3 linked regions of the Tribolium castaneum genome follow. The protein of the gene in region 2 purifies or fractionates together with the protein of the main gene of each other region. This does not show direct contact. Links are inferred from orthologs where the notes say so. Each region holds a gene or a part of one and is shown on either strand. Other genes may lie near its edges. The genes, in order: calnexin, EMC1 and CHOp24.

What was found.
Region 1: the proteins of EMC1 (region 2) and calnexin purify together in Homo sapiens (affinity purification with mass spectrometry; 4 studies listed by BioGRID and IntAct, with this or other methods). This does not show direct contact. The link is inferred for Tribolium castaneum from reciprocal best matches to the Homo sapiens genes EMC1 and CANX.
Region 3: the proteins of EMC1 (region 2) and CHOp24 purify together in Homo sapiens (affinity purification with mass spectrometry; 3 studies listed by BioGRID and IntAct, with this or other methods). This does not show direct contact. The link is inferred for Tribolium castaneum from reciprocal best matches to the Homo sapiens genes EMC1 and TMED2.

What each region holds. Positions count from the first base shown.
Region 1 is NC_087402.1:5,188,978-5,196,161, forward strand, and holds calnexin, read right to left. Parts: upstream 3,905-7,184; 5' UTR 3,709-3,904; exon of another isoform or gene 3,704-3,708; intron 3,701-3,703; exon of another isoform or gene 3,606-3,700; intron 3,420-3,605; 5' UTR 3,401-3,419; coding exon 2,174-3,400; intron 1,491-2,173; coding exon 1,350-1,490; intron 1,121-1,349; coding exon 980-1,120; intron 928-979; coding exon 739-927; intron 690-738; coding exon 630-689; 3' UTR 130-629; downstream 1-129. Other genes in the region: parathyroid hormone/parathyroid hormone-related peptide receptor, read left to right, coding at 1-129; nSMase (putative neutral sphingomyelinase), read right to left, coding at 4,089-4,880, 4,929-5,112, 5,159-5,332, 5,380-5,411; gem-associated protein 5, read left to right, coding at 5,913-6,085, 6,136-6,268, 6,316-6,547, 6,595-7,184. UniProt on the Homo sapiens protein: Calcium-binding protein that interacts with newly synthesized monoglucosylated glycoproteins in the endoplasmic reticulum. It may act in assisting protein assembly and/or in the retention within the ER of unassembled protein subunits.
Region 2 is NC_087394.1:1,540,194-1,547,157, forward strand, and holds EMC1 (ER membrane protein complex subunit 1), read left to right. Parts: upstream 1-2,469; 5' UTR 2,470-2,578; coding exon 2,579-5,104; 3' UTR 5,105-6,080; downstream 6,081-6,964. Other genes in the region: ArfGAP1 (ADP-ribosylation factor GTPase-activating protein 1), read left to right, coding at 1,319-1,512, 1,562-1,781. UniProt on the Homo sapiens protein: Part of the endoplasmic reticulum membrane protein complex (EMC) that enables the energy-independent insertion into endoplasmic reticulum membranes of newly synthesized membrane proteins.
Region 3 is NC_087401.1:13,708,160-13,714,035, forward strand, and holds CHOp24 (transmembrane emp24 domain-containing protein 2), read right to left. Parts: upstream 4,313-5,876; 5' UTR 4,217-4,312; coding exon 4,090-4,216; intron 4,044-4,089; coding exon 3,762-4,043; intron 3,577-3,761; coding exon 3,386-3,576; 3' UTR 3,317-3,385; downstream 1-3,316. Other genes in the region: PIG-L (N-acetylglucosaminyl-phosphatidylinositol de-N-acetylase), read left to right, coding at 1,630-1,948, 1,992-2,376, 2,747-2,921. UniProt on the Homo sapiens protein: Involved in vesicular protein trafficking. Mainly functions in the early secretory pathway but also in post-Golgi membranes.

The sequences.
Region 1 (7,184 bases), on a different chromosome or scaffold from region 2:
TTTAAGAGGCGAAGTCGCACGATCTCGCACACGCAACAGATTCCGCTGACTGAAGAGTTGCAAGAAATGCCGCACAACGCGGGGATTAAAGATCAGCTGTGCATTAACAAAACAAGTGATTATTTTTAAGTTTATTTATTGTAGCTTTAGTTCCACACACAATAAACTTAAGTAATTTATTTTCCTCTGAACTATTACATAATCACAGGACATTATAAATATAATATAGAAAAATCGCTGATGCAAATCATGCAATGACATAATACTAGTACGGGCGAATTTGGTCTGGGAAACTGAAGAGCTGCCGGTGAAATGGTACAAATTACCAAAAAATAGTTCCATGTTTTTTATTTTCTGTAATAAATAATCCTCAAATATACAAACGGCTTAATACCTTTCCCTTAAGCCCTCCGTTTGATTATTTACAAATACAGTAAAATGAACCGCTGTCAAATACTTTATTCGAAAACGTAACAACTACAATTATACTATTCTTTCAAAAAGAACAAATTTCCTAAGGAAAAATGGAACGAATAATGTACAGCAAAAAAACAAACAATCGTAAATAAATACAACTGCAGGATTGCATGATGAAAACAGTGCTGGTGCAAGTTATACAAAAATTACTATCACTCCTTACGAACTTTTCGTTTCCTCGCGCCGTCACCTGCACCTTTGGATGACTGTTCCTGCGAGAACATGATAAACCCAATTTTAATTTTAACGACTGAATCTCACCTCTGTTTTTTCCTCTGATTCCTCTTCTTCGTCGGAATCAGGCCCTGAATTCTTTTCTCTATCGTCGTCTTCTGCATTTTCAGCTTCTACTTCATCTTCTTCTTCTTCTTTACCTTCTTCTTCTACAACATCTTCAGTCGTTTCGTCAGTCTTTTTATGTTGCGCTGCTTGTCGAAGCTCCTCTTTCTCCTGTCATTGTCACTTATTAACACCGCAAAATTTAATGCAATAGCCAAAATACCTGAATTTGACTAGCAGAGGATCCAGGCTTGCAGCAAAGGTATAATACAAAAACAACAGGGATGCCTAGTACGATAATGTATACTCCCCAAAGCCAAGGGTAATCATTGGTCAAGGTAGCTAATTTTTGAATTACGCTTTCCTATGTCAAAACAAAGAAAACTATAACTAGCAGTACGAAAATACCTCTTGAATGCAGAAGTAGAGGTACCATATGTAACAACAAACCGGTATGGCGCAATAAACGAAATATAAGAACCACGGTACAGGTTTATAGTTTAACTTTTTCATAAGACGACCCCACAGTGTCCTCTTATTTAGTAAAAAATCACAAATATAATAAAATTCATTTAAATTAAACAGATACTAACCGAATCCTTGGCGATCTTTTGCTTCTTTTTTTCAAAAGTGGCGTCTGCCCAATGGTTCGCAACGGTAATATCGTCGGTAATAATAATATTGTCGAAGAAAATGTCCTTTGACATTGACCATAACTCAAATCCAACAGCGGTCTGAAAAAAGTTATTTGTCCAAAGATAAATTAATCTTGAATGAATTGCAAAAATACAATTCTTTATTTAGGTTTACAAAACATTTTTATCACAATACGAACGCAAATTCGCCAAAATAAGCATAAAAACGATTGGGTGTGGCTAAGTATATATTACTTCCTTAGTTAGCATATCTCACATAGCAACTAAATCCTTTTGTAGTGACACAAACAATTCTTTTTTGCAACATGTTTTGTTGAAGGCAACAATGCAATAATCAAATACGCAGTTTCGGTAAAAATATGGAAATTAAACAACTACAATTCTGCCAAAAACCAAAGATAATAAAAAAAAATCGCAAAAATAAATGTGTCAATTTCAAGTTGGCTCAATTTTATCAAGAGGCAATTCTTTTACCATTTTCTCACTGTCCTAGGCACTCTAAAAAAATTGCTAACAAAATTAGAAGCTCAGAATTTGTTATTTTTGTACAAAGCATATCGAAATATACTTTTCACAAATTCTGGAAACTGGAGAGGAAACTAGAGCTGACAGCCAAATTTTGACTGCAGATTTGTAAACTATGTTCTAATAGTGTACAAAATCAACTGATAAATTTGAACAAGAAGAAAAAATAATGTAAACATATCGGCACCAATAATTACAGTTACATAAACAAGATAATTTTTTAACCATTTACTTACAACAGTCTGCATTTTAAAGGGATGCTTATCTTCGAAGAACTCGGGATTGGGGATCCTCCTGGGCCTCCACTTCCCCTTATAATTAGGATTATCGATAAGCGGCGCCCTCCACTTCCCCTTATAATCGGGATTATTGATAAGTGGGGGCTCCCAAGGCCCACACCCGACAGCATCCTTACAAGCGGGATTATCAATAAGCGGTGGTTCCCACTCCCCGTCCATTTCCGAATCCCAATCTTCTGGTTTCTTTGCATCAGGATCGAAAACATGCGACGGTTCATTATCCAGCCAACCTTCCGGTTTCACCGCTGATTCATCAACAATCTGAGCCGGCGCATCCTCATCCCAATCGTCAGGTTTCACGGCATCTGGGTCAGGGATTTTCTCCCTTTCATCCCAATCCTCAGGTTTCTTGTCATTAGGATCGTCAATTTCTTTCGGAGGATTCACTGCCGGGGTGAAATCCTCAAGCAAACTTCCCGAATTGACCACTTTGTTGTCGATTAGGATCTCGAAGGTGTTGTCAGGGTGCAGGACAAGGGTGAACAAGTGGGGGAGTTTGTCGGAGAAGACTTCCTCAATGCGGTCTTTGGGTTTTTTGCAATGCTTTTCCTCGACGCTCCCGTTGAGAGGGTTGCGGTGCTTGAAGATAAAGTGGAGCTTGTGGTCGTTACCGCACTTGTCGGGGCCGAACATGATCGAGTAGGGGGTTTTATCGTGGAAGTTGTTCAAGTTTTTACTGGCGGAGTCCTGGGTGAGCAGCTTCAAGTAGGCTCCGCCACATTCTTGGCCGTCTTGGAATATTACTTCATATTGCACGATTAATGGTTTAGTATCAAAAATAAACGGTTTTAGGAGAGAGGAGGCAATAGCAGCGTGTTTAGCCTTTGATTTAAGCACTAAACCTTTGTCGCCCACTAGACTGTCTTTTTGGGTTGGTTCAAGTTGCCATTCACCGTCGTATTTTGCGATGTCTTCGGAAATCCCTTCTTTCTTCGCTTGGGATTTTATCCAACGTTTCGCAAACTGGTCTGGATCGTCGAAATGCTCGGCGAAATAGACCTTTTTCGGGTCAAGGGGGCTCGGACTTTCGTAGGGGATATCAATGTGTGATTCTTCCGGTTCTACTTCCACAGTAGCCTCGTCAGAATCGTCCACTTCGTCACATTTTACCGCCGAAAATATCAACAATAACGTGATTACTGCCGGAACGAGACTTCTAAGCATTTTGTGATCATATATTGTCCTGCAAACCAAACCGGGCACTAATTATGTGTCGTGATTACAGGATGACGAAACGGAAGCAGTATTTACTAATATAAGTCAGGGACTAATCCAATTTAAAAAATTAACCTGAAAGGTTAGTGAACGCACTTCCCAATCGATTAGTTACGAAATTACGCCAAATATCGACAAAAACGCACTCTCTTACCCAACTATCGACACGCTATTACTACAAAATGCACAAAAAAGCCGACTTCACGATGAAATAATTAAAATTCTAGAGACCGACAAAATAAAATGACATACCTAACCTCAAAATCCGGAAGTAGTTTTACACAGCACTCTTACAACACTAGCTTCAGCACCACAGTCTTAACTCAAATTGGTGTTTACTTAGGCTGTATTTCATTTATTATCAGATTATTTTTATTGTAGTTCTTGAACACCACGTAATACACCGCATTTATGAAGAGAATAAACACAAATTCGCCGACCAATCAGCGTCAAACAGATGGCAAAGTTGCGCTCAGTTCAAAAATAGGCGGGGAAAAAAAGTACAAACAGTTAAAAAATGAAAACTTTATTCACCAGTGGTACAGAAACGATCACAGTCGTACAAACCAAATAAAAAATGAGCAACAGGTGTTGGTCTTTGATTTAAAATACTGAGCTTGTTTTGGCCCTGATATAATTACAAATCTTTGGCTTTTAATTTCCTCAAAGCTGTCTCCATTCCCAACTTGCCCGCAATCACAGCATGACGTTCGATTTTATTCCAGATAGTTGCCATCATCAAAGTGTAAAACATAAAAAGGGTGATTAAAATTTTCAAAATGTGGTAAATAAAATTCAGATTGTAGCCGAAAGGTAGGTCAGTTGCAAGTGTCGTAACCAGCAACACGATTAAAACGAACGTAAAAAACCAGTACAAATATTTATGGTTATTCAAGCCCCTGAGTGCGTCATCACAGATTTCTATGCTCTCTTCAAGGACAGTTTTCTTCATGTGTTGGTCGCTTTTCAGCGACCTTATCTCGCTCTTTGTGACGATTAAAGTCGCAGCGATTGCTTCATGGTCCGAGTAACTGTACGCACATCCGGGGATTTTGTGTGGTAACGGCAATGTGTAGCTTTTTAAATCGATTTGTAAACTTGAGCCTGGATGATACATGATATAGTCGATTCTTTTGCCAGGAATGTTTTTCTTGAGTAAGGCCACGGGTGTGTAACTATTAGTGAGGCTTTCATTTGTCGCCACACAATTCTGCACCGTTTCTCCAGCTTCACCAAACGCATCTACAAGTCCCGGAACACTCAACATTATCCTGTAGGCTAAATCTCCAGGTTCGGTATTTAAGTCCCCGGCCAGGACTACTAGGTCGGCGTCTCCAGACGTCATTTGGATAAATTGAGCGGTATCGAAAGATTGGAGCACTCTGTGAGCTTGGTATTCATCACAATTTCGGTCGTATTCTGCGTGCAACTAAAATTATTACTCTTTGTGTTGTTCATCAAGCAAAATAAATCTTACATGTGCAGAGTAGACGTTGACGGTGTAATTGTTCACCTTTAATTTACATAAACCCACGCCCTTTCCACCAAACCAGTCACCATGGTGGATTTTATGAATGTAACCATTTACTGGCCATTGGTGGAAAAAAACGTCCTCCATCGGGTGTCGCGATAAAATACAAACGCCAGAGCCCGTGACTCCGCTACAACTCACCTTTACGCTTGTTTCAACTGAATTTTTGAATTTACCTGTAAAAATAGTGAGAGTATGGTAACACCCCTGAGACTTTGTTTCTGATTAACTGGTAGTCAGAGTCAAGCCATATCTCTTGGAGGCAAACTACATCGTACTGGCTAGTCGCCAACTTCTCAGCTATTGCCTGCATTCGGTGTCTTCGGTTCTTGGAGACCACCGCAAGGCCCCTAAGAATTTTGTGCAATTTTGTAACATAAATCACATGACAGCTTACCAGCAATTCAAAGTAAACACTTTAAACTCCATTATTACAGAAAATGATAGATTTATAGAAGTATTTTTGCGAAATAGATCTAACTTTGTGTTAAAAGAACAGTGACGTGTGACATTACTGTTGACATTTTTCCTGCATGGCCACGTGACAGTTGTCAAACGTCCAACAGCGTAAGTTAAAAGGGTGGCGAAACATTAAATAAATTAAATCGACTCGCAAAAATTACCAGAATGTAACAAATAATCAGGTAACGACCAATAACTTTTTTCGGTAATTTTTGGATGAGTTAAGCTTTAATTTGTAACAGAACTTGGCTGTAGAAAACGAGAATGGTGGGAAATGGTGGAAATGCGTGCAGGGATTGTCTGGTCGACTGTAATGTTTATGGTGCTAACTTCAATTAATTTCGGACGGGTGAACATTCTCCGGTTCAGACGTCTTGTTCAGTGCACAAACTCGCCCAACCACATGTGAAAATAACGTGTAAATGCGTTTTAAAAGTTACTTGTTCAGTTGTTGAATAATTTGGTGAGATGAACGAGTTAGCTGTTCCTCCTGCGCCCCTTTGGTACAGGAGTTCAGTGTTGGCGTGTGCCCCTGACAATACCTTGGTGTATGGCGCAAAAAGCGATATTGTTATCGTTAGGGAAAAAGGCCCCGAAGAACCGGCCGAAGTGAAATTGATTCATTCGGCTCACTCTAAACTGTACTTGAGTTTTACGTTTCTTGGCCGTTTTTCTACAATTGATGTTTCAGTCTCACTTCCGTTAGTTTGAACAGGAGATGGAAGGAGCCCCATTCGTACGTGGTGTCCCTGGGGGAAGACAGCGTGATGAAGGTGTGGGACTTGGATACCTTCGAGAAGAAAACGTCGAATAGGGATCATGTGGTAAGTCTGGTATTTTTAAGGAAAGCACAATGAGATAATGATGATAGGAACACAAAAACCCCGTAATTGGGGCCGTTTTTGCGGGTGATGATCGCGTCGTAAGTGCGTCATCGACCGGTTTTGTACACGTCTGGAATATCAACACGAATGAGTCCAAGCCTTTGGTAGATTTATTCAAAAGTAAAGTCACTCTGACTTGTCTTTCGTCGTGCCCCCATGCCGGCTGGCTCATGGCCTTTGGACTAAATAACGGTGTGGTGATCGTGGCCGATTTGCGTCGTAAGTTTGCGCATAAAAAATACTTTTTGCTCATGTAATTTGTCCAGGCAATGGGCAAGTTTTGTATAAATTGAGGGGGCATTATCAGGCGGTTGTTTGCTTGTCTTGGTGTCCAGCACCCGTAAATATCTTTCCGAGACATGGCCAGAATACGGTTAAAAATAAATCAAGCGAAAGTGAGCACAATGAGGGTTCTAGTTCAGATAAGACAGTTGAGACCAAAGAAAAGGTCAATCCTTGGGTAAATCTAGTTCATGCAGATGATGGCGAAGCCTCATCTGGTAAAGAAACCCTCTCGGACACAATCTCCGATTTTTTGAAAGATTGTCATCTTTTGAAAAGTAAGATATTAGGGCTTGAACCAGAACTTGTAAAATCAGCGGAAGTAAAAAACTCAGCCGCTGATAACGAGGCAGAAAGCGAAGTTGAATGTGAACGTGAGTTTGTGCCTGAAGTGGACTGTGGTAGGCCTCTGCCGAAACTGTACGACCCAAGTGGCGACTTTTTGGACGATTCTGTGCTAGATTCCGAAATTATCGAAGATAAAGATGAAGGAAATGAGAAGGATATTGAGCACACGGGCTCAGAAGTGAAGACTGATCAAACGGACGAAACCCGCGAGAAGTTTGACTCGCCG
Region 2 (6,964 bases):
CCTATTTTAAAACATATAAACTTCATGGAAGAAAAACTTCAGATGGCATAGGGATTTTGACAAATAAATAAAGAGTATATTTTTAATAAATGATACATACTTTACATGCGTTACGAAAGAACAAGTAAATTTTTACAATGTTCAACTAATAATTTTTCTCCAAAAAATTTCCAAAATTACAACAAAACTGATGACTGATTTGGGATCCTCAGACAATTTTAAATTAAATAGACATATTTTTGACATAAATTTTCGGTTATTGTAATTTTAATGATTTTTTATTGTTAGGTTTGTAAGTAAAAATGTAACCAAATTGATTTATTCAGATTATTTGCACAATTTTGACTTAATTCCCATCAAATTTTGGACAGAAATAGATAATTAACTAGTAAAAAGGGCATAAGTCGTCTTAGATCATTTTAATATTTTTTTATATTTTTCTCTTATTTTTGGTATATTGGAAAAATTAAAATCGACCACATTTCGTCTGATATCTCGAAAACTACGAATAAAATATCAAAAATGATTACAGATTTGGAATCGTCAGACAATTCTACGTCAGATAAGCATACATTTGAAATAAATTTTCGGTTATTGTGGCCTTGATAATTTTTTAAAGATGAGATAGAATTTTTTTTGACAAAGTTGTTTTACCTAGATAATTTGCACAATTTTGACCCGATTGCCACAGAATTTAGCACAGAAATAGACAATTAACTAGTAAAAAGGGCACAAGTCGTTTTAGATTAATTTCAATCTTTTTATATTTTTAAATTTTGGAAAATTAAAAAAATTAAAATCGGTCATATTTTGTCCAATATCTCCAAGACTACGAATCGCAGAACAAAAAGGAAGACAGATTTGGAATCCTCGGACAATTTTACGTTAGATAGATATACTTTTGAAATAAAGTTTCGGTTATTGTGACCTTGATAATTTTTTTAAAGATTGATTGGTAAGAAATTTTTTTTGACAAAGTTCTAGTTTATTTTCTTTTAAACAATTTTTTGATTAATTATGTTTGCTTTTTAAGAATTTTTTTTTTGTTTTTTTCTCAATTCTGATCCCAGTTTTGTAATAGTTTTTGTTCTTTTCTTCGCACAAAATTCCACTGTTTGTTTAGCTTCGAGTAACAAACCCATCGTAATAAATGGCTTCTTCCGATAAAAGCGCCATCTGATGCAGCTATACCTTAGCCACTTTTCTAGGGCGGCAAATTCAAATGTGTTTTTTATTTATTACTCGTTTATTATTTGTACAAGTAAGCATTGCCCATTTGTGTGTTTTCCGCCTTTTGATTTAATGCCCATGCCCATAGATGGGCGAGTTGGGTCGCAAGGGTTGGCGCGAAGTCTCTGGTAGTGGTAACGCAGGCGACTACCATTCCGGTGGTTATGGGCAAGTTGGTGGCGAAAACTACCATTCACCTGGCGAGAAATCCTCGTTGGTGAGCAGTGGCAATGGTTACGTCCGGGACGAAGACTGGAGTTGTAGCAGTCAACAGGGTTCAAAGTATTTGTGTTTTGTTTTTGGTTATTTTCTCTGATTTGGGGATTTTAAGGGCGTCTAGTCCCAAGTCGCCTGGCCAGAACTGGGACGGCAGTTGGGGTGGTTACCAGAGCGACCATCAGGGCTACCAATCCGACTCTAGGGACTTTTCCTCCCCCACGTCACCCACAGGCGCAAAATCGAGCAAAAAAGAGAAGAAAACAAAAGAGAAGAAAGCCAACTGGGACGATAAGTGGGGGGATGACGAGCTGTGGGAAAGCCTCAACAAGTAAAATTGTGACCAATTAGACCAATTAATTATTCGCATCGTGGGTGTTCATGACGTTGTTATTTCAATTTTTTAGCTCAATGTTTACGGTTTATTTACTTTATTTTTATCATTCAATGTTGTTACATTATAACTGTTGCTTATACCGGTACCAAAAGTGAGATTATTTATTTTTAACGGACTTAAACGACTTCCAGCTTGGTCACAACGCGCGAACATGCATTTATTGTCCAGTTGTTGTTACTGTAAATATTCCTTGTAGCTATAGGCTATTATTAACTGAAACATTTATGTAAAGTATGATTAATTCGAAATTTCAAGACAAATAAACATTATTTTACTCACCTACTTGGCCTTAATCAATTACAGGAACCTGTATCGTGTGAGCCGGGACTACCAACTGAAACAGCCATTTTCAACCATCCCCTAAATTTTTCTTCGATAAAGATTGTAACGAATGATGATGGTATAGCTATGTGATACAGTTTTTTCGCACACAATTGCCCAAATATTTCAAATTACTTGGTAGGGCTGTCAAGAAATTCTCGCTAAAGTGCATTCGCGTCTATTCCAGTTTTACTAGTGCTGTCCAAGAATGCGAAAAAATTGAACAAATTACGGAATCGTGATCCTAAGATCAATATTTTTGGAAATCGGCTCAATATAACTGCTATAACTCAATCCAGTAAAAATAAATGAAAGTTTGAAAATTCTCGTCAGCGACCATTCTCGCCAACGTCCTACCCAGTTTATGACTTGTCAAAACCATTGAGGTTATGTCATAGAGGTTATGTGTTCAAAATGACGAATTTGGGGCACTTTATCACACTATGCGCCACAATTCTCTCAGCCCACGCGATCTACGAAGACCAGGTGGGCAAATTCGACTGGAAACGCTCATTTATCGGCAAAGTAAAGCACGCTCAATTCGACACCAAACGCCTGATTGTGACCACACATGAGAATATCATTGCTAGTCTGAGCCCCAAAACTGGCGAAATACAATGGCGCCAATTGATGGAGGACCCCCAGGAGCACCAGCCCCAGCTCCTGCACCTGGACAAGGACGCGGTCACAGTTTCTGGGGGCAAGTCCCGGTTTTACGTGCGCGGGTGGGACGCCCCCACTGGAAGCCTCCTGTGGGAGTGGCCCCTGGTGCTGGACCGCCCCGGCGACTCGTTCTGGCTGCTCCAAGGCGACTTGTTAGTGCATGTTTTGGCAATTAAGGGCTCCCACATGGAAGTGACTCAGTTTAGTGTCAAAACGGGGGAAGTCCGGGCCAAGACGCGCAAAATCCCCGAAACGTGGGTTTCCGGTGACAAGTGCGTAACAGCCAACCCCTACTTCGTGTGTGTTTTTAACGGACAGTTGTTTTGGCTGGATGTGGTTAATGAGGGGGGCAGAGCCTCGTCCCAGCCGATTCAAGGGGGCCCTGACTGTAATCTCCTCGAGTTTGATGGCCCAAAACCCGCCGTATTACTCGTGAGACAAAATAGCGCTAAAATCGTGGAACTTGGGGGCGCAGTTTTGCCGCACGAAGTGGCCCCAAACGCTGTCTCGATCGGTAGTTCTGTTTTTCAACTTGAGGCAAATTTGGACAATTTGGATAAATTGGTTCGGGTGAAATCGTTTGATCTAGTGAGCGGGCGTGAAAGTTCGGTCGAGATCGATTATCCGTTAGGTCTCGGAGGACCATATATTGTGTCGGGGCAGTGCCGTGGCCCCGCCTGCGAGCTCCTCCTCTCCAGCACTGACCACGCCCTCACGCTAGTCCGCCTGCCCGAAGGGCGCGTCTCCTGGACGCGTGAAGAAGCCTTAAGTAACATAATCTCAGTCGAATTTTTCGAGTTACCAGTGTCCGACCTTGAGGCCAGTATCGAGACCGAATTTACCGACAACGACGTCATCACCATGTTCACGCGCCGCATTTCCACCCAAACCAAACAGCTCGTTAATCTAGTGAGCGGGCAGTTCGGCTCAACTCGGGACGACTTCGGCCTACACCGTATCATTGTCGTGGCAACGGCCGTCGGTAAACTCTTCGGGATTGACACGCTTCGCAACGGATCAATCGTGTGGACGTACCGCCTACCGAACGTCAAGCCTGTGATGCTATTGGTGCAGCGCACGGCGCGACACGCCCCCTTGCCCGCCCAGTGCGTGCTATTGGCCCAGGACGTGACGACGGGAGGCGGGGTTTTGTTCGCCTTTGATCCGATTAGCGGGGAGTCACGCGGGCTGGACCGGTTGTCCTATCGGATCAAGCAGGCGTTTGTGGCGCCCAATGAGGACGAGGAGCATCTCAAACCGGTGATTGTGATTGGTGCGGACGATTCAGTGCGGGTGTTCCCCGAAAGGGGTCCCAAAACAGTCGCTTATGTTTATACAATCGATCAAAGTCTGGTTCAAGGTTATAGACTTGAACCGGACGGGTTAAAACCGGTATGGAACCTAAACTTGGGTGTGTGTGACCTTGTGGGGGTTAGCACACGTCCGGTGACCGAGCGGGTGCATTCCCAAGGTCGGGTCTTGCACGACCGGTCGGTTCACTACAAGTATGTTAACCCCAATTTAATTGCGTTGGCAACACTGAGTGAAGACCCGGTACATAAGAGCGTTCTTAACGTGTTCCTGGTTGATGGTGTGACCGGTTTTGTTGTCTACTCGACCTCGCATAAAAAAGCCAAAGGGCCGGTACATTTAGTACATTCGGAAAACTGGCTCGTTTATACGTTTTTCAACGAACGGTTCCGAAGAACCGAAATCGTGGCAACGGAACTGTACGAAGGCTCAATCCAGAGTAACAGTACCGTATTCAGTTCCTTTGCCATAAGTCAGTTACCAGAGGTCAAAACCGAGTCATACATCCTACCAGCTAACCCCGTCTCCATGTCAGTAACTCTGACCGAACGTGGGATAACCAACAAGTTTTTGTTGGTCGGGACCAGTTCTGGCAGCGTTGTGGAAATCCCCTGGATGTTGCTCCAGCCGCGGTTTGCCGACATGCCCTGCGGTCCAGAAGAGAGCTGTTTCCCCTACATGCCAGAAATCGCCATACCGCCCGAAGCCACTATTAACTACAACCAAACTCTGGCAAGGATTCGCAAAATCGCAGTGGCCCCTGCCAAGCTGGAGAGTACAAGTCATGTGTTGGTCCACGGGTTGGACTTGTTTTATACGCGAGTGGCGCCCTCTAAGACTTTTGATTTGTTGAAGGAGGATTTTGATCATCGGTTGATTGTTTTGGTTTTGGTGGGACTGGTGGTGGCATCGTATGTTACCAAGTATCTGGCGGCCAAGAAGGCGCTAAGACAGGCTTGGAAGTAATTAGGCAATAAATTAAGGGTGGGTGTCCATGGACGGGCTTTGGATATTTTTTTATTTTTTGGGAGGATGGTTTTATACCCTATCTGGTCGTGATGGTAGTCTTGAAAGTATGGTGTTTTTGTGCTCCAGTTTAAAAGTTTGAATAAGATTTCCGAAGTATTTGAATGACCTTGAGACTTAAATAGTATATAGATCCTACACGAGAATAACAAAAATATTTTAAAATTGCAGTTGAAGGAAATGTATGATGTGCAAAAGAATGATTATTTCATACATGTTTAGTAAAACTGCTGTTTTTTTAACTTAAAGTCATTTAATTAACCAAGGAGCAATCATAACTAATGCCATTATTTTTTATGGTTTTACAGTGCCATTAATTTTGATATTTATTATGTCTCATGGTTAATTTTTATATGCATGGTCATTGAAAACACATTCAAAATTTCGATTTTCTCTACACAAATTGTAGTTTATTTATTATATTAAGTAAAGAAAAGTTGTTCATTATCTGCCTACTTTTCTTTACGTCTATGCCACTTGTTTTTCTTATAGAAAAAAACATAAAGATTTGGTAATAATTTTTTACCAGTAGAATAAAAAATAACTAAATTAAATAATCTACCATAGGTATCTGTAAAAGCAAACAATGGTTTTAGGAGGAAAAGTGCATAAGTGCAGGCTTTCACGATTACTGTCGACATTCGAGGTTTTAAAACAGATTATATGATGAAAAAATGTTAAAAATCCAAAATGCCGTTTTATGGATATTACCAATTTAAGTTTTAGTCAATGTGCACCTTTGTTGTTCTGTTTGTTGTACAATCAAGTCAGTTGTTTTGTTGTTTGATACTGTGTCTTTATACAGCATTTTGTAAGATAATTACGTTCGGTACGGACGTGGCGTAATTTGTAATTAGAGTTGTTGGGTCGTGTATAAAGTGTAAACAAAGACCAAATAAAAAGTTTAAAATGCAAAGTGTATCGATTTTTTGCCAGAGGGATATTTGCATTTGTGGGGAATATTAATGAAAATAAGTAAATAAGCTTTGCTATTACTTATGATTTTTTAAGCAATTTTTACATCATGTGTCAACGAAAATAAGGATATAACTTCGAAAACATTTTTTGATTTTTATTCAGAATAAGGTATTGCTTTCTGCATTAATAAAGATAAGGATAATCTTAGAAAAATAAGCTAAAATTATTATCTGAAGAGTAAAGAGTATGAAACTGAAATTATTTTGAGTAACACAAGTTCTAAAAACAAGCAAATGCGTGTAAGTAAAAGTAAATATTAATACAAAATAATCAGAAGACGCAGGGTTTTATTTTTAATTTTTTACCAGTAACAAATAACATTCGCATAAAAAATTTACTGTTACGTGTTGTGTGAGTGGGGCATTATCGCCTTCTAGTAGAGCAAACAACCCAAGAGGGCTCAAAACCTCTCAAAAATCATTAATTTTTTTCCACCCTAAAAGTTCCCAAAAATTGGGCACACGAAAAAATCGCTAAAATCTCCCAAAATAATGGAAAATTACCTCAAGAACGCTCTAAAAACTAACAAAATACCGTGTTTTTACACACCCCAAAATGGCTTTTTATTTCTGGACCTTGGTGCATGCAAAAAAGTAAAATTCTTGTTTTTTTACTTCATTGGGTGTTTTTGTTACGCCATAATTTGGTGCAAGTTGTACGAAACGATTGCAAAAACGTGCCAAGTTGAAGCAAAGTGCTAAAGAATTGCGTAAATTAATATTGAATTGATTAGTTTTTCCACTCGTTTTTCCAAAAACTAAAAACCAATCTATTCGTTTTTTATGTCAATAAAAAACTGGCTATAATTAGCGCCAGCAGAGG
Region 3 (5,876 bases), on a different chromosome or scaffold from region 2:
TGTCAACAGGGCACTCAAATGGAAAATACGGGCATAAATTACACAAAGCAAGGACACGATTCACATTATTTCGTTTGGTTTTGCACGAGATGGTACTTGGGGTTAATTAATTCAAACAATTCGTAAAAAAACACTTTTGGTGGCTAGTCTAATTGACAAAACTGAAATCACCAGAAATGCATTAACTAGGCGTCCTCTGGTGACGACATGTCGTACTTGCCGAAAACAGTAACAAGTTTTGGTAATTGCTCATTTAATGGATTATTTAGCAATTCTGCGTGTGTACTGTTAATTTTTTACATTAGAGAGAGTCAATTTAAAATTATATGCCGGTAAATACTAGTGTTGCCTTTGGTTTTGCGTTTTTTCGTGATTATAAAGTGTTTTATGTTGGACTTTGATAAAAAAGTGAAAAAGATTTTTGATTACAAAGAGTTATTTAATCTATTGCGTAATCAAAAACTGTTAAGTATTGGGTCATTTACGGCGATTTACACACTACTGTTCCTTTCGGCATTGTATTGAGATCTCCGGATAATTTTATTGACTTAAAAGATATAAATATTGAAAGAAAGTGTTATTTGTGATAATTGAAGTAATTTGTTTAAGGAGATACTGTAATGAATCACTAATAACCAATAATAATCCATTTAAATAATCACACAAAAATCAGCGTTTGTGATTTTTTTTGCTTTATTTCTTTCTGTAAGCCTTCGAATTTTATCAGATTTTTTCTACAATTTCTTATAAATAATAAATATTAATTAATGAGAAATATTTATATTAATAAAATATTATTTTATTTAAAAAAAACTAAAAACATTAACTAATGGAAATTTTTATGATTTATAGAACAAGCGATGCTTGCAGAATGTTTTGTACAAAAAAAAATATGTAAAAAAATAAGTGTTCTACAAACGACTTGTTATTTACAGAAATACAATTTCTTTATTTGTTAATGCTTTTGAAGATACGTTCGATGAATAAGTAGATGTGGTTTATAATTATAAACCTAGTGTTTTCAAAGATATGAAATTACGATTCTCTTGTTTTTCTAAAGATGTCTTGTTCTCATTTTTTGATATCCAACGGTTTTATAACGTGAGATTTCTGAATTTTATTTATTTTATTTAGTTATAGTTCATTAAACATTCATAAAAGATATAGGACTGCAATAGCTAAATGGAAAAAATTGAGGAACAGCGAAATAATTTTGGAAACATGTTAATTTTAACCAGCTGAGTCAATTGTGCCGCCCGACGTCACACCTAGAGAGACTTTGAGGTCTCATAACTTTTTTATTTTTACGAACATAAAAAAATGAAAAGTACCATTAGTTTTACAATTATGAAGACTATTAGTGGTATTAATTTAAAAATGTAAAATTCTAGAAACGTGAATGTTTCTAGAAATGTCTTTTCTGTCGTTGATTTTCTGTTGGTGACCAGAATTCCCGCTTGGGAATGCTAGTGACAGATAAAAATCCCTAGAAATGGGGACGTCAACCTAACCTCAAAATTATGCCCTGTGCCAATTTCTCCGCCAGAAAATCTAAAAATACCGCAAATGCTCGGTAAATCTATTTCGAGCGTGACTTCATGACTGAGATGAGCCAAGCAGCGCCTTGGCATGAGTCTAGGTTTCGAATCGTTGGTGTCCCTCGTCTCAGCCTCTTGGAAGAATCTAACCGTTCGAGTCCAGGAATACACGAAAGAAACCGTGGAGCATTTAATCGTAGCCGTGTCCGTGTACATCATAGTATGCGTGTTTTTGTACCTTTCCATCTCTCGCTGGAAGATAATCCACTTCAAAAAAGACGTAAAAAACCCCCATCGTGTTTTACTAGTAATCGCACATCCTGACGACGAATGCATGTTTTTTGGCCCCACTGTTTTGAACTTCACCAAACAGAACCAATGTAAAGTGTTCCTGATGTGTCTTTCGACAGGTTTGAGACCCGCTCATTTTTCGGGCGTAATCACTCGTTTCAGGGCAAAATTACGGACTGGGGAAAACCCGCAAACAGGAATTGTACAAATCGTGTCGCATGCTGGGCATTGACGATAGCTGTATCACGGTGTGCAACCACACGAACTTGCCCGATCAAATGGGGGCCAAATGGCCGATTGAATTGGTCGCTAAATTGATTTTAAACCACGTGGAGACCTACAGCATTGACACGCTTGTCACCTTTGATAAACACGGAGTTAGCTATCATCTCAATCACTGCAGTATTTACTACGCGATCGCTCATCTCAGCATTGAGAAAAAATTGCCCAAGGAATGTTCTGTTTATGTTCTAGAGACTGTTAATTTGTTGAGGAAGTATTGGCTCCTGTTGGATATTCCCGTCTCGTTTCTTTTGTCCAGGATAAGGTGAGGGCGTTTTTAATGATGCATCAAGTTGGCATGCACCGGGTGACTACTAAATTAATTTGGCAACCCTGATTATCCAACTTAAATGTAAAAAAAATATGCATGCGTGTGAATTTTTCAGAACTATTCTACAATTCCTAATAACTTAATTATTAAGTATTAAGTATCAAATTAAAAATAATTTTTTGTTGAGTCTTCCTTTTAATAATATTTTACACGCTTCCCATAGCAACGTGTTTTAAATAAAAATGTTCCAACAAAAAAATAAGAAAACGCTTCTCGCTTACGCTCGTTGCATAAAGACAATAACCGAGTGTTGCCAATAGTATAATTCATGGGCAACTTGTAGCACAACTGTCAATTGTTTTAGGTATTTAGTGACTTCTGCAGACCGCGCTATAATCCACAAGGCCATGAAACAGCATCAGTCCCAATTAGTTTGGTTTCGACGTCTCTATATGCTTTTCTCAAGGTATATGTTAATTAATTCGCTACAGTTAATGGAATTGTCGGATATAGAATTAGATTTAGAAATAGACGACTAAATTTATATCACTCTAGACGAAACAAAGTTTCAACTTTTATATATCAACTTGTAAATACAAACCTACCTCTTGATTTTTGTTGTTTTTGTGCCAAAGTCTATGCTTCTTTGTAAGTTTTTATGAATTTTAATAAAATTATGTTTCTATTTCGCTGTTTTTTGTTACAATAAGAGGTGTATTCAAAGTTTCAGTAACATTTTACACCTACTATGTTATGAAATTACGCTTTTTTGTAATTATTCCGTTTTTCTTGTCAACGTATAATCTCTTTTTTGAGATCAAGTTGGCATAGTCAATTATTGGTTATGAAATTATGACATTGCCAACTTGATTTCGAAGTCATAGCCCGCTCTGATTGGGAATGGAATGTGTGTCGGGTGTAATAAAACCAAGTGTTCTGTGACATTTTTTATTAAAAATTCTTATTAAATATTAATTTACAAAATTTCACAACAAAAAGTGACTTAAACGACTCTCCGTACCTCGAAGAATCGCTTCAAATAATAAACCTGTCCAAGAGTCATCGCGACCAAAATTAGGGCCTCAAAAAATGACCACATCACAACTCTTGAATTTGTGTTTTCATTAATACTCCTGTGAATGCGGTCCCTGACTTGCATATACTCCTGTTCTTGCTTAACCCCAGTCAACGATGCTACAACAGCAAATTATTTGTGAACATTTAAATAAGCCTTAAAAATATATATTTTAAGGATATACTTGAATTTTATTTATTTAAAAACGTTGAATTAATAATTATGTACTATACAAGACGATAAAATATATATTTTATGTATATTTGAATACTTATTTTCCTGGCCTACTTGGGCCCCCACTCACCGCTCAGTTCCCGGATCATATCCTCCAACTTATTCGTGGAATCGCCCTCCTGGTGCTCGGCCTTGGGGCCCTCACCAATGGCCATATTAAACATGACCACTTTGGGCGTCATTGTCGACATCTTATTCGAAAAACAGTACGTGTAAGTGCCGGCAGTGTGCGCCGAAAAAGTGTACTTCCCCGAAGTCTCCCTTTCGCCCTGGTAGATAACCTTATCGTCGGGGCCCACGATCCGGACATCAATGTCCAGGAAGCCCCCTTCGGCTATCTCGAAAGTCAAGCCTGCAAAAGGGGGTTAGCTGGGCAAGGGCCCCGCACTACAACGTACCCATTTTTGTGCCAGCTTCCACCTTGTCGAAGAAACATTCCTCGGCGTGCGCGTCCACGGTTATGAAATAGGCAGATGTTGAGGATGTGTACAGGAGCAGAAGGGAGATTATCACTTTTGAACACATTTCTGAGATTTAAGTTAAATTCATCGGCCACGTATCTAACCTCTCCTGTCAAAAGGAGACGCTGCCAACATGGCGATTTCACAAGATTTTTCCATTTTTTTCCAAAATCAGGGAGAATTATTAATTAATTGTGGCACAAAATGAGTTTAGTCGGTTGTACACGCTGTCAGGTCGCAACCAAATTTTTTTAGTAGAAAGTTTAATGAAAAAATGAAAATTGTAAACTGTAAAGTTGGCAATTGATTACAAAAAAAACTTCCTATATTGTAATAAATACCTAAATAAAGACAATACTACGTTTCGTTTCAAACAGAACTTGCATAAAAGTGACTTAGTCAAGCAACTAATTATACCATCCATTATTAATTAAATAATATTCCGAGTATTAATAATAAATACCATTCATTTTTTTTACCAATAAAACTCCCCAACAATTTATATTTTCCTTAAAAAAAAACGGATGCCGACCGGGTGCGAACCCCGGACTCCAAGTTCCAAAACAAAAAACGGGAAAAAATTAAACTCAGTCATTTTCAGTCTAGTTTATTAAACTCAAACACATTATATTTACAAAAAAAATACTTACTATAGGGTAATAAATTTCTAAATAAACACAATACTACGTTTCGTTTCAAACAGAACTTGCATAAAAGTAACTTAGTCAAGCAACTAATTATACCGTCCTTTATTAATTAAATAATATTCTTTGTATCGATAAATTAATAATAAAAATTATTCGATTCTCTTTTTAGCCAATAAAATTCCCCAATAACTCATATTTTACTTTAAAAAAAAACGGATGCCGACCGGGTTCGAACCCCGGACCCCAACTTCCAAAACAAAAAATGGAAAAAATAAAAAGTTATTTTCAATCTAGTTTATTAAACTCAAACACATCATATTTACAAGAAAAACCTTCCTATGTAGTAATAAATACCGAAATAAACACAATACTAAGTTTTGTTTCAAATAGAACTTGCATAAAAGTAACTTAGTCAAGAGTCAAGCAATCAATTATACTGTTCTTTTTTAATTAAATAATATTCCTAGTATTAATAAATTAATAATAAATACCATTCAATTCTCTTTTTAGGCAACAAAACTCCCCAATAATTCATATTATCTCTTAAAAAAAAAACGGATGTGACCGGGTTCGAACCCCGGACCCCACCTTCCGAAACAAAAAATGGGAAAAATAAAACTCAATCATTTTCAGTCTAATTTATTAAATTCAAATATATCATATTTACAAAAAAAACCTTCGTATATAGTAATAAATACTTAAATAAACACAATACTACGTTTTGATCAAACAGAACTTGCATAAAATTAATTTAGTCAAGCAACCAATTATACCGTCCTTTATTAATTAAATAATATTCCTAGTATTAATAAATCAATAATAAATACCATTCAATTTTGTTTTTAACCAATAAAACTCCCCAATAATTCATATTTTCCCTTAAAAAAAAAAAAACGGATGCGACCGGGTTCGAACCCAGGACCCCACCGTCCAAAACAAAAAATGGGAAAAAATAAAACTCAATTATTTTCAGACTAGTTTATTAAACTCAAACGCATCATATTTACAAAAAAAACTTACTATACAGTAATAAATATCTAAATAAACACAATACTACGTACTTGCATAAAAACTGCA